2 linked regions of the Styela clava genome follow. The protein of the gene in region 1 binds, or shares a complex with, the protein of each later gene. Links are inferred from orthologs where the notes say so. Each region holds a gene or a part of one and is shown in the gene's direction. Other genes may lie near its edges.

The links. The genes of interacting proteins can lie anywhere in the genome.
Region 2: GATOR1 complex protein NPRL2-like (region 1) and GATOR2 complex protein WDR24-like share a complex: the UniProt entries of both Drosophila melanogaster proteins name them as parts of the GATOR complex. The link is inferred for Styela clava from reciprocal best matches to the Drosophila melanogaster genes Nprl2 and Wdr24.

The regions. Positions count from the first base shown.
Region 1 is NC_135262.1:4,332,561-4,338,874, forward strand, and holds the start of GATOR1 complex protein NPRL2-like, read left to right. Parts: upstream 1-2,955; 5' UTR 2,956-2,973; coding exon 2,974-3,096; intron 3,097-3,607; coding exon 3,608-3,705; intron 3,706-4,624; coding exon 4,625-4,842; intron 4,843-6,024; coding exon 6,025-6,221; intron 6,222-6,314. Other genes in the region: uncharacterized protein LOC120332525, read left to right, coding at 1-978. UniProt on the Drosophila melanogaster protein: An essential component of the GATOR subcomplex GATOR1 which functions as an inhibitor of the amino acid-sensing branch of the TORC1 signaling pathway.
Region 2 is NC_135253.1:6,285,978-6,292,291, reverse strand, and holds GATOR2 complex protein WDR24-like, read left to right. Parts: upstream 1-1,795; 5' UTR 1,796-1,835; coding exon 1,836-2,434; intron 2,435-2,634; coding exon 2,635-4,711; 3' UTR 4,712-5,213; downstream 5,214-6,314. Other genes in the region: uncharacterized protein LOC120326470, read right to left, coding at 5,214-5,347, 5,588-5,752, 6,204-6,314. UniProt on the Drosophila melanogaster protein: An essential component of the GATOR subcomplex GATOR2 which functions as an activator of the amino acid-sensing branch of the mTORC1 signaling pathway.

The DNA.
Region 1 (6,314 bases):
GCCACTCTTGTCTATGATTGGGAGGGTATCAGTAATTCCCCATCCTTTATGAGAAGTGGATTTATGCAAAATCTTGGTTCAAAATATAAAAATTCCTCAAGTGAATCTTTGATTAAATCTGACAATTTAAACAGCGAATCAATATCGAACTTACCAAATTTGCAAGTTGAAATACAAGTACCAGAACCATATTCCGAGAACGATACGAACATGAGTGAATTAAGCGCATTCGAAGGAAGTTTGCAAGGCAAAGTAATCTTAGTCGCTGGTGCATCAAGTGGAATCGGGAAGGCTATTGCGGAAGCTGTTGCAAGAGCGGGTGCACACGTATGTGTTGGCGCACGAAGACAAGATAAACTTGCTGAAGTCTGTGAAAAAATTGACTCTGAAGGTGGTATTGTACACCAATATGAATTGGACGTAACGGATCGGGCTCAATTTTCTGAAGTTGTGAAAACTATTGAGGAACTTATGGGCCCGATTGATATTTTAATAAACAATGCTGGATGCATGTTTTACACGCACATGCACAATGCAATGATGGATGATTGGGATAAAATGATTAATATTAATTGTCGTGGCGTAACTAACGGTATTGGGTGTGTTCTACCTGGAATGGTAGAAAGGGGGAAAGGTCATATTGTTAACACATCATCAGATGCAGGCAGGAGAGGGTTTCCTGGTTTAGCGGTATACTCCGCAACAAAATTTTTTGTAGAAGGACTTTCTCAATCTTTAAGGCAAGAAGTAAAAGACAAGGGGGTCAGAGTAACTTGTATTCAACCCGGTGACGTTGCGACTGAAATTGGGAATTATACGAGAGATCTGGATGCCCAAGTGCAATACAATACAATGGGTTCAGCAAGTAAAATCCTTGACCCTGAAGACATTGGAAGGGCTGTCTTATATGCCCTTACTCAGCCAGATCATGTAGGTGTAAATGAAATTCTTATAGAGCCCACAGAAGCTCCAATCTAATTTATGGTATTTGACAACCTTTCCGTATCTGAGCGTTTGTTTTTCAGATATGTTTTTAAGTTTACTTAGTCCAATGTATGCTGTTCCTGCCAGACTAAAATCAAGCCGAAAGGCTGTTTCAAGCATTAGTTGAAAATAATATTAAATTCTGGGTGCCAATAATATTGTGTTTTGTGACAAAATCATGATACATAAACTGCATGAACTGGTATATAAATCGTGTTTTCTTTTGTTAACTAAACTGCTTGTATATAGATTGTGATAGCCAAATGTTTTTTATGCATGGAATATATTTGTGAGGTCAACTTTTCGCAGTTACATATAGACGATAAATTATTCCAGAATTTTAATAAAAAGTGTGTTTTTGATTTTAGCGCTTGTGGGAATTATGGCATACCGGTACTTGAATTATTTTATTTACTGATTTCCAACAAATGTTAAACTGACTTATATCATATAATCAGGGAAATCACTACGAAATGGTTAAATTAGATGTCAGTTTACGTATAGTCCAATGTATTTTTCTGGTTTTGCTTTGAAATCGTGATATAATGTGGTCTATTTTCAAACTACTTGGTAAATTGTTTTTGATGTACGTAGTCCAATTTTGATTTTTAAGCTGTTTTTCTTCAGCAATTATTCAGTTTACTCCAGATCCCAAGTTTTTATGAATGGAGGAATATTGAATAATGTTTATTCAGAAGATTGATTAGTTATTAAAGTTTTAAAATATATATCATACCAAACTAATGTTTCGTCTCTTAAGAAAATACTTTTGTAGTGTTATTATTGTATTTTGAGGCTTTCATAATTATGTTCATTCATGGAATACCTTCTAATAAAAGCATTATTAAATGCATTTGTGTAGTTTGTAGGAATTATATCTAAACATTACTGTAACTACATTTTTAGCACTTGACCTTAGAGATGGGATAGGGAATTTTTTCATTATTTTAATGAATTAGAAAATTATAAATTGAAAAAAAAAGGATGGGCATGAAATGGAGTTGCAAAACTTTCTGCCAGCTCCATTTACAACAAAAATCCATGGCTTTAGTCCCGTCCGAATACTCCAGTAACAAGGCAGCATTTACCTGATTAAGTGCGCCTGACTTGGTTTCTAGTTAATACTGGACTGTGGTTTGCTATGGAATGATTCATCTTATTTTCAATCTCAGGGTTTATATAGAAATTCTATCAGCTTGGTAAACCAAGTATTGCAAAATGGATCTTCAAATATTGTACAATCATTTCTACCTTTTTTTCTTATCTCCAAGTTATTTATTCCTCACATTCTTGGTGCAGATAAAAATAGTAGGCTATTCAAATTATCATTCAGTAGATGCTTTTCATTCTCAAATTAATTGCATAGACCTGAGACAATTACAAAGTTATCTATACCCATACTTGTCCTGGACATACAACCGGACAAGAAACAGTCTACCATAGGATTAAGCCATTTCATCAGCCTTGCTCAGGATAAATATAAAAAACCTATCTTGATTGTCATTAGCAAATATGCTATACATGTTGATTATATTCTTATATTATAAGCGGTAGTAATGAAAATTTGATTAAGTTATTATAAAACAACGATTACGGTACTTGTAATATGAACGAGTGTTTTCTTCTAACATTGATTTGGTTTTGACGTGTATGGGCCAAATATCAAAGTTTTTTATTGAAAAATTTTGAGTTTTGTTTTCCAATAATCCAGGCCTCCTTGTAAACATAGGCCATTGCTTCAAAAACGTTTTTGATCTATTCAAGCATTATTAAAATTATCATCATTCATTTCTCATTTTCGTTTATTTTTACATATTGTTGAATCACTCAACTCATCAAAACAGTTTTTTTGGGGGATTCGTTACCATGGGAATCGAAATCTTCATCAAAAATTGTTTTTGTGATAATCTGTTATATGTTAAACTATTATTAATTGAATTCTTTCAATGTAGATTAATTGATAGTTTAATTAACTGTATTCGCTGACCCATGAAGGTCATTGAATGCAGCAATATGAACGATTCATTGCAGTCTTACATTGCGAAACATCCTATTGAATGTATGTTCTTCAGTGAATTTCATCATTTGCAAGGACCCAAGATAACTTATCAGGTATTTAACAATGGAGTGGACCTATAAATCGTTTTGTGAATATTATGTTGTTATTGTTCTTCTTGGTATTTTTCTTCTTATGGTTATGGAAAAATCGTTTTTTTCTTCAACTCCTGGACCAATTGCTTTGGAATTTTTAGTGGTTAGAGATTGTGTTTTTCATATTTAAGCATTGTTTTGTTGTTTCTTGAACATTGTCCATGACTGAATATTATAAGGTTGAAATATGTCTCAGTATTTTTAATGTGTTCTGTACAATAATATAAAAAAAGGGAATATTGAATGTAGAAGTAAAATTGTTGTATAAGTTCAAGTTTCGTCTCTTGTTTTTCAAAAATCTGATAACTTGAACAAATTTTCATGATTGTAAAACATCTACTACATCTAATATTGGTCTAACTATCATTAGCTCTGGAATATAGTTTTCTGATCAGTGATGTTGTCCTTCCTATTGTTATGACTTGATTTCCTTCTTTGCAATAAATCATTTGATATGATATTTTAATTTCAGTATCCTGATGGATATTTTAACCAACAAGAAGGATTATTTGAAGAAGTTACGAATTATATCATTCCTAAACCAGAATTACAAGAGAAATTGACAACTGTGTTGGTATATTTTGTAATTTATTTTCCTTGAAATGAATGAAATACACACAAAATTTGGTCAAATAACAGGGAAGAATATCTCAAGCCCAGGGGTGTGCAATCTTTATTACATGAAGACCACATTCAAATAACTGGAAGAAAACGTGGCCCGCACCTTTATTTAACATAGGCTTTAATGTAGTTGCATGCACAAAAAGCTAGCTAGCTGTTAGGGCATTGTAACGTCGTAAAAATTGGTCTCGGGTATAGGCTTTGCAACTCTAAGGTATTGGGGTTACTCGCTCATACCAGATAAAACTAAATTAAAACTGCGTTTCCCGGGCCGCACACAATCCAAAATTGGCATGTCTCCGCAGGCCGCACAATTTTTCCCGGTGGGCCTCAATTGGCTTGCAGGCCACAGGTTGCACAACCCTGCTTCAGCTTGTTCTGAGCTGTAAATGGGATTAAAATATTTTTGTTTAATCAAATTTTCTGCAATACACTATGACCAAGCTATTCCTAGATTCTGACTATCGTAGAGAATTGTGGTTTACTATAATTGGTGGTATTCAATCAGAGTCTGATTTGAAAGGGTGTACTATTTGGAATCTGGATTCAGTATTTGGGACTTTGAGAGAGTTGGGAGTCCAAATTTTTATTGGTTAAAATAGTAGTTAAAATAGTTTCTCACATTTGTAAGCTGTAGTGAGTTAAGATTTTGTCAATTCAGACCCTTGACTTAGACCTGCATTTTGAATCTCTGGAGTGAGAAGAAACTTTTTTCAGACAAAAAACGTCCTAACTATGTATTTTCATAGGGCTATTCTGAAATGAAGGTAGCTGTGTTTGCTTCTCTTTAGCTATCATGCAGCATTATTAAAAATGTGACTATAACACGCAGTAAATATCATTTGTCTATAATTAATACTGTATTTAGGAATGTAGGGAAAAAGAAAGTGATTGGATGTCCAGTATGTATCGAGGGATCTCATTATCCAAGAAATAATTTCATCTTTAACTTTGGTCTGGTGCTCGATAGTAAACATAAGAGTTCTCCTTGTATTCCAATGATCAAACAACTCTCAAAATATATGTCAGAACTTGAGAAGGAGAATGGCTTCGTTTCTAATGAAGAGACTAGAGAAATGATTCCAAGTAAGAAACAACCCTTAACTGTAAATCTGGTTTGAAAGAAATTTAGGACTTCTGCTCAATTTAACTGCCAATAAGAAATAAAAACCATCGCATTTTAAGTCTTTTTCATAAATAAACTGAAAAATGGGCGCTCCAGAAGTATGTGTACCAATATGGAGGTGACTAATTTTGTTTGCCTATTTTACATCCAAGTTATATAAAGTGACTGAAACTTGTGGGCAGGGGGTATATTCACTTGGCTAACACAGACAATCCCTGACTTGTAATAGAATTAAAATAAAGAAAATCGGAATAAAATTATGGCCTAACCCTAACATGGTGCACATACTACGGGAGTACTCAAAAATATATTTGGCCCTGTGCAGACAATACAGCTAGTTATGTTATTGTTATGTTAAGTATATATCTTGATTTTAAACAAAAAAATAAGTCTCATTCTTTCAGGGTGTAAGAATTTGGTAGGTTTTGCATAAACATAGATTCTGGTTATTTTAAAATATTGTATCCGTAGATCTATATCCAAACCCTCGTTTAAAGTACATTTATGAAATGTCCCAAAAATAGCCAAATTAATATTACATTCACGATACAAACACTCATTTTACAGTCGTATGAAGCAGATCTCATATTTTGGAGCGAAATGTGTGTGCATAATAATGCAAAATAGCCTGCTCCTGTTTCTTTCCCGCGGAGCACTATAATCCGGCCCGCGACGCTTCACTAAATTATAGTAACAAAACATCCGTTTTGACGAATATATTCTTTAGACTTAATTATATTATAACCCAACAATTATATAATTCACAATTACTCGTTTAATGAGCATATAATTTAATTATAATTAGGCAAATGGCAACAAAACGCGGAAAAGTTAATTCTAAGTGCAAAGGGTTCAATGGCGCTGAAAATATTCAAATGGGATTTTATGAGATGCAATGAGGAAATAAATCTATATTCTATTCGAGAGATGTATCAGTGCTTGATTTTTATTATAAAAAGTACCATCCGTTCGAAATTTTCAACTTTCTAAAAATATGTGCGACCCGTCAATGACTTGCAACCTTAATTTTGGCCCGCGAGTGACAAAAGGTTTCCTCACTGCTGTACTCTATTGGTTTGATTGTAAAACAATCACCTTTGAGGTTTATTACCATTACAGATTACATTCCTACATTTTTCTAGATATTCTGCGCGATATGCTTGAAGAACTAAATACAAAAGGAAGTTGCTGCACAAGGGTTAATGATAACACAACTTTATTTTTAAAAGTATTTCCCCCCACAACCCTTCCTCCTGTAGTAAAAGATCATGATGTGCCGATACTGATGGTATCGATAGATGAATTCATGCCAGGAGGATGGGATTTGACCACAGAAAGGGTAAGATTGTAGTTAATGTGAATTTTGAATATTCCATAGTTAGTGGGACCTCCTGAAGTATGCGCACCAAGATGGCGCACAACCTGAACTCAG
Region 2 (6,314 bases), on another chromosome or scaffold:
TTAAAGCAAATTTGGCTAAGGTAGTCGGGAAAAGAACCCAGCAGCAAATTTCCCACTGAATTCGTTCAAATTTGGAGTGACAATAAATTTGAATAACAGTTTGATAAATTTATGCGTCAACTCATCATTTTTGCAACGACCCATAATAATGCCATAAGATCAATAAAAAAAGACATTATTTTGTGCCTGTTACTTTAGAAAGCCTATGTTAAATGAAGGTGCGGCCCGCGGTTTTACCCAAGTATTGATATCAGGCCCGCCGGCGGGAAAGTTTGCACACTCCTGATTAAATACACTATTTACAAGACTTCCTTATTTTTGAAAAATAAGAAATTTTGTGACAAAAAATACTGTTATATTTAGCTGAAAGATTGTTGTATATTGCATAGTATCTAACTGCATGAAATTTTTTTCGTACATTAATATATATTACATATATTTTCTAGTTTACTAATTGTAGTCGACAATCTTGGAAATTCTGCCTGAAGTTAAACGAAACGACATTTTCAGGGCTATGCTCATGGGTATGCCACGCATATGGCGTTGATTCAAACTTGCAAAACATCACTGCTCGATCGGCGTCAAGAATACGCTTACATACTTTTACACGAAAAAGTTTATTCATAAAACAAACGAGTCATTTAGCTCTACTGCGGCTACGACCAACACACAAAGCTGTCAGTCTGTCACCGTAACCCCATACCTAATTTGCTATGATGATGCCGAGTTCTGAGGTGCCATAAATAAAACCGGCACCCAACTACACCCCCTGCGTGACCATGAACTAATATGTTTGTTCTACTTGTCTAAAGCCTTGCTTTGAGTGAAAACGTATAAGGCCTTATTGATGAAGTGTGGCAAAATACATTACCTATCGCTGGACATAAAATAATGAGTCTTTATGTGTGTGGTACCGAAGTGAACGTAAATTAATATGCACTTTTCTTGCTTAGAGTGAAAAATAATAATAAGTCCTTATGTGTGTGGTACCCAACTACACCCTCTGCGTGGACGTAAATTAATATGTCCCTTTTTGCTTGTCTGAAGTCTTTCTTAGAGTGAAAACGTATAGCACCTCATTGATAAAGTGTGGCACAATACATGACCTATTGCTTAAAAATAACAAGTCCTTAGGTGTGTTGCACCGTAGTAGTATATATTTACGGTTGTACCAAACTAGATTAATTGCGTGAATGTAAATTAATTAATATATCCAGTGTCAACCCACGAAATTGTTCAGATGAGGATCCGTGAACGTTGCTTGGTGAAAATAGGTGTCTCGCTTTAGTTCCGTTTGTTAATTAGGAGATCAGCGAAACGATCCTACGAGAGGCATGTACTTGCACTCTTGTAGGCACTGTGACGGGTGTTCGTCGCCCTTTGGCAAGCTCTATTTCAGTATTTCGTGATAGTGACGAATTTTTGGATGACGCAGTCAGGAATCATAAATGCAAAAATTGTTACCCACGCCCACTAGAAGTTATTGTGGAACGAAACTAGACGAGACCCAAAAATTGTTATGCTACGCCCGCTAGAAGTACGTTAGGTACGATACGAAACTACACGAGACCCAGAATTTCTGCAGAATGACACCTGACAGGAATTGTGGGTTAGCTTTTCAGATAGACAGGTCTTACAGTAGTCAGAATATGGTTTTATTCTTGATGAAATTATGGTACCAAATTCTGTAGTTGGTCAATTCACAAAAACATTACATTGATACGTTATAATTGAATAAAATTAAGACTCTGAGATAAAAAATAATTGACTGAATAAATTTATCTCTTACAGGTCCATTGATTAAATCCATTGAATACCGCATACTGGTATAGACAATGAAGAGAAATCAAATAGTATCAGATTTTGGCACTAATATCTCAAATGGAGTAACATATGCAAACCAACATTGCACAATGTATGTTGATGTGGGTGGACCTATCAACATGCTAGCAGCAAACAAAGACAGCTCTATGATAGCAGTTGCTGGACGAACTATTTTGAAAATATATTCAGTAGATGACACTTGTTTTAAGGAAAAAATAAACTTGAGAGTCGGAAGAAGACAAGGGCTCAATTTAAGCTGTGCTGATGTGGCATGGAATCATTTAAATGAAAGTTTAATCGCAACTGCTGCTACAAATGGAGCTATCATTGCATGGGACTTAAGTGCATCAGGCAGAAATAAACAACTCGAAATATTTACTGATCATAAAAGGACTGTTACAAAAGTATGTTTTCATAGTTCTGAGCCTGGGAGATTGCTTAGTGGTTCTCAAGATTGTACAATGAAAATGTTTGACATGAGAAAAAAGGAATGTATTGCCAGTTTCTCCAGTAAAACTGATGGTGTTCGATGTGTGCAATTTTCTCCTCATGAATATTTTCAATTTGCGGCATCGTTTGACAATGGTTCTGTTCAAGTTTGGGATTACAGGTGAATTACGCCTTAAGTTTGTTAAAAGTTGGAATTAATCAGTTTTGATCTTCTATGCTTTTGGTTCAAAAGTCTTCGTGTTGAATTTAATCATGAAATGTAAACACCATTGCAAGTTGAACAAATTTTCAAGTCATGACCGAGAAATATAAGCTAGTTTCATATGACAAAAGTTTGATTATTATAATTTTCTATTTCAGAAACACAAGTTCCTGTTTGATGCAGTTCATAGCCCATAAAGGATCTGTTTATTCAATTGATTGGCATCCGGATGCCAAAGATAAACAGAGAATTGCAACAGGAGGCAGAGACAATAAAGTCAAAATTTGGGATATGATAGATCACAAAATGTCTGAGCATATGGTGATACCAACAAATTCTTTAGTTGCCATGGCTCGGTGGAGAACGCAACGACGAGAACAGATTGCAAGTGTAGCAATGATGCTGGACCATTCTATCAATGTATGGGATATGAGACGACCATACATGCCGTTTGCTCATTTTACAGAACACACTGATGTTACAACTGGTATAGCGTGGAAAAAAAATGATCCAGAAATTCTATTTTCATGTTCTAAAGATGGGACTCTATATCAACATTCCATTAGAGATGCACATCGCCCATCAGAACACTGTAACATTTCTGGTCTTTCTGTAAGCGCTAGAGGATATATAGGACATGCGTCCACTGATAGTACAAATTCATATGATGCCATACCTAGTACTAAGACTAAAGGAATGACACGGTTTGGTTTTAGAACTGTTGTTGGGGTCGCTCCAAAACTGGATACAAACTCGTGGGTACAAAACACATTGTCTACTAGTAGTATGAATATTAAATTTGCTCGATTTCTAAATGCTAAATCAGAGCTTGGGATACACAGTATCACTCCTATCAAAGAAGATGACTTTCCTACTTCCTCGGACGTACATCCTTCAAGTCTTATCAAGGCCGCCCAGCAATACAAGCTACAAGGAATGGCATTTAATAAACTATGTTTACACAATGCAAAAGTTTGTGATGATCTTCAAATGAGCATTGATGCAAACATATGGAGATATTTGGAAAGGTTTTTTGAAGGAGTTTCGACAAAAAAGACAGAACGAAGCAACTCTACTACATTTCATACAAACTCAGCAGAAATAAGCAGTCTTAAAACTGGGAGAGAGTCTATGAAAAATGGGATTGTTACTGGGGAAAGCAACGGAGAAGAATCCGAACAACACTCAGATCCAGAGACTGAGCATTACCTGACAGATATAGCAAAGGGCCATGCTACATCTGAACAAGAGTGTTATTACTCTGATGAGTATGATTTGAGTGAGGACTTTGGGAAAGGTCATCACGGTGGTATTTCTTCAGGACCAGAAGGATACATGGATCAGGATTGGTATCCTCTTAGCGATACAATCAGTGATGCTACACTTCCATCTGAAGCTTTTAAACAGAGACTTGTACTAACTGCCACTGATGGTTTTGAAAACCAGCTTGATCCAGCTATAAGTGGAGAAGAAGAGAAACTAATAACTGCCGTTCCTGTTATGATTCCATCTTCAACATCACAGCAGAATCATAACCCTGAAAAATGGAGGAAGAAGAATAATAGTCGGAGTTCTGGCCCTTCAGCTGTCTCCCTGCATTCACAATCTTCATCTCCACATGAACAATTATCAGTATCTCCTGTGGTTTACACCAGACCCTATGAAAACCCTGCTTTGTCAATCAGTCGTAAAACTGAACTGCTTTCTTCAATGTACGAGTCTATGATAAGCAACGGCAACAACATTCAAATTATAACATGTACAATGATTGTCCTGGGTCATTATTATCCCTCAATAAGTCTTCCTATTGACGATCATCTGCTGGAACATTGGCAAAATTCATATCTGGAATTGGTCAGTCGTTATGAACTATGGAACCATTTCACTGAGATTATTAATTTAAGCACACTTCCTTCCATAAAGAATATGAACACTTCATCCACCCTAAACACCTGTTGCGGAATTTGCCATAAACGAATGCCAACTGCAAACCCATGGAGTTGTTCAAAACATTCTGATAATGATCATAAACAAGCAGGCATGGGGGCTGGTATAAAATGTTCACTGTGCCAGTTAGTTGTGAAAAGTTTGTATACATGGTGCCAAGGATGTTGTCATGGTGGACATATAGATTGCATGAAAGATTGGTTTAATTATCCACATAGCAAAGGCAGATGTCCAACAGGATGTGGGCACATTTGTGCTAGTTCTAGACATAGACTACCAGTCAAATGAAATTGGTATATATACAAACCTAATTATGTTTATGCAATTTTACACATTTTTTCATATCACTGTCAATTATGCTCAAAATGTAGTTGCTGGTCATGACCATATGTAATTACGGTCAATCACATCTTGGGCACTAAAGAAACAACTTCAATAGCCTCTGAATTTGACTCGTTCGTTTACTCATGCTCCCCAGGTAGATAGCAATGACAATGGCACAGATTTGGTCGCGCCAGAAATGTATGTACCAATGTGGAGGTAGATAATTTTGTTTGCCTACTTTACATCAAGTTGTGCAAAGGGACTGTCAAACCAATGGGGCCCAACACAGACCATCCCCGAACTCGTAAGGAAAATCATGATTTGTGGGTCGAACATTACATTCAAAACTGCATCCTGGCACAAGGTCGTTTAAATCAGACCACCAGTCCTGGTTGCGAAGAAGGTAGTTAATTAATTGATTAATTGAGAGAACTGAGGTTGTGATACAGACTAGAGCAATTTAATCTCACTGTTTTATTTTTTTGTAGGCTAAACAAGAAATTGTCATGCAATTGAATCTATTATTAATATATATTTTCTTCACTTGTACTGGTGTGATGAGAGGCATTTGTGAACTTTCTTCAGCTTTATTCCAATACTCTAATAAAGAAATAAGGAAAGTGAAGTTATTGGTTAAATGCAGGCTGTCATAACGATCGTTGCAGATTTTAAAATTCACCTTGCATTATCGAACACTTTAATACACAAATCTTTAAGAAGATGAACCAAAATCATTCTCGTTTTGCAACAATTTTTCAAAGATGATACCAACAAACCAACAAATTGCATAAGTGTTTATGCCAAGTGTCACAAAAATATAATTATTAACTATTACTATACCGAGGACGCTTTCAGGTAAAAGGTTTTCTCCAGTGTAAAAAAGAGAGGCCTGTACGATATGCTGTGTATTCAAATGACAATCACTCAACCATGATCTAACACTATCTTGAATGTAGTTGACACAGTGTTTCAATTCCAGTGAAGTAACATGTCCTGAAGCAAGACCTGACAATGGATAATTACGCAGTAATGATCATTCAGTTATTGGAATGAACACGTAAAACAGTGCTGGGTAATAGTGCTGATCTTCATATGACTGCTTATCAGTTGCAGTTTTTTATTACAATAATATTAGTATGTACAAACTTTTAGTATAGGATTTACATATTTATCCCGGGGAGAGGAAAGACATAAGACGACTTAATCATATAGCAAACTATGGCCTCTTGTCCGGTTACCTAAGTCGGGTATGGGATTAGTTAGACAGTTACTTGTTTCCAGAAGCATGGACTCGATGGTGGCAAGGAGTCCAGCAATCCTCTTGCACATAACTATCCCTGCATGGAACCTGCGAATCCGATGTGTGGTGGCGAGCGTATTCCTAACACTTAGCACGATGCGCCACACTTTGACATTCACATTCATCCCCTCTTTTACAAATATCTGACAAACTTACTTATAGAAGATGTAAATGAGTAAACTTCTTTATTTTCCATTGCTGCCTTCCAATAATTCCAAGTTACAACAATGTTGTCATGTTTTGAATGCCCAGAATGACACCCAATAT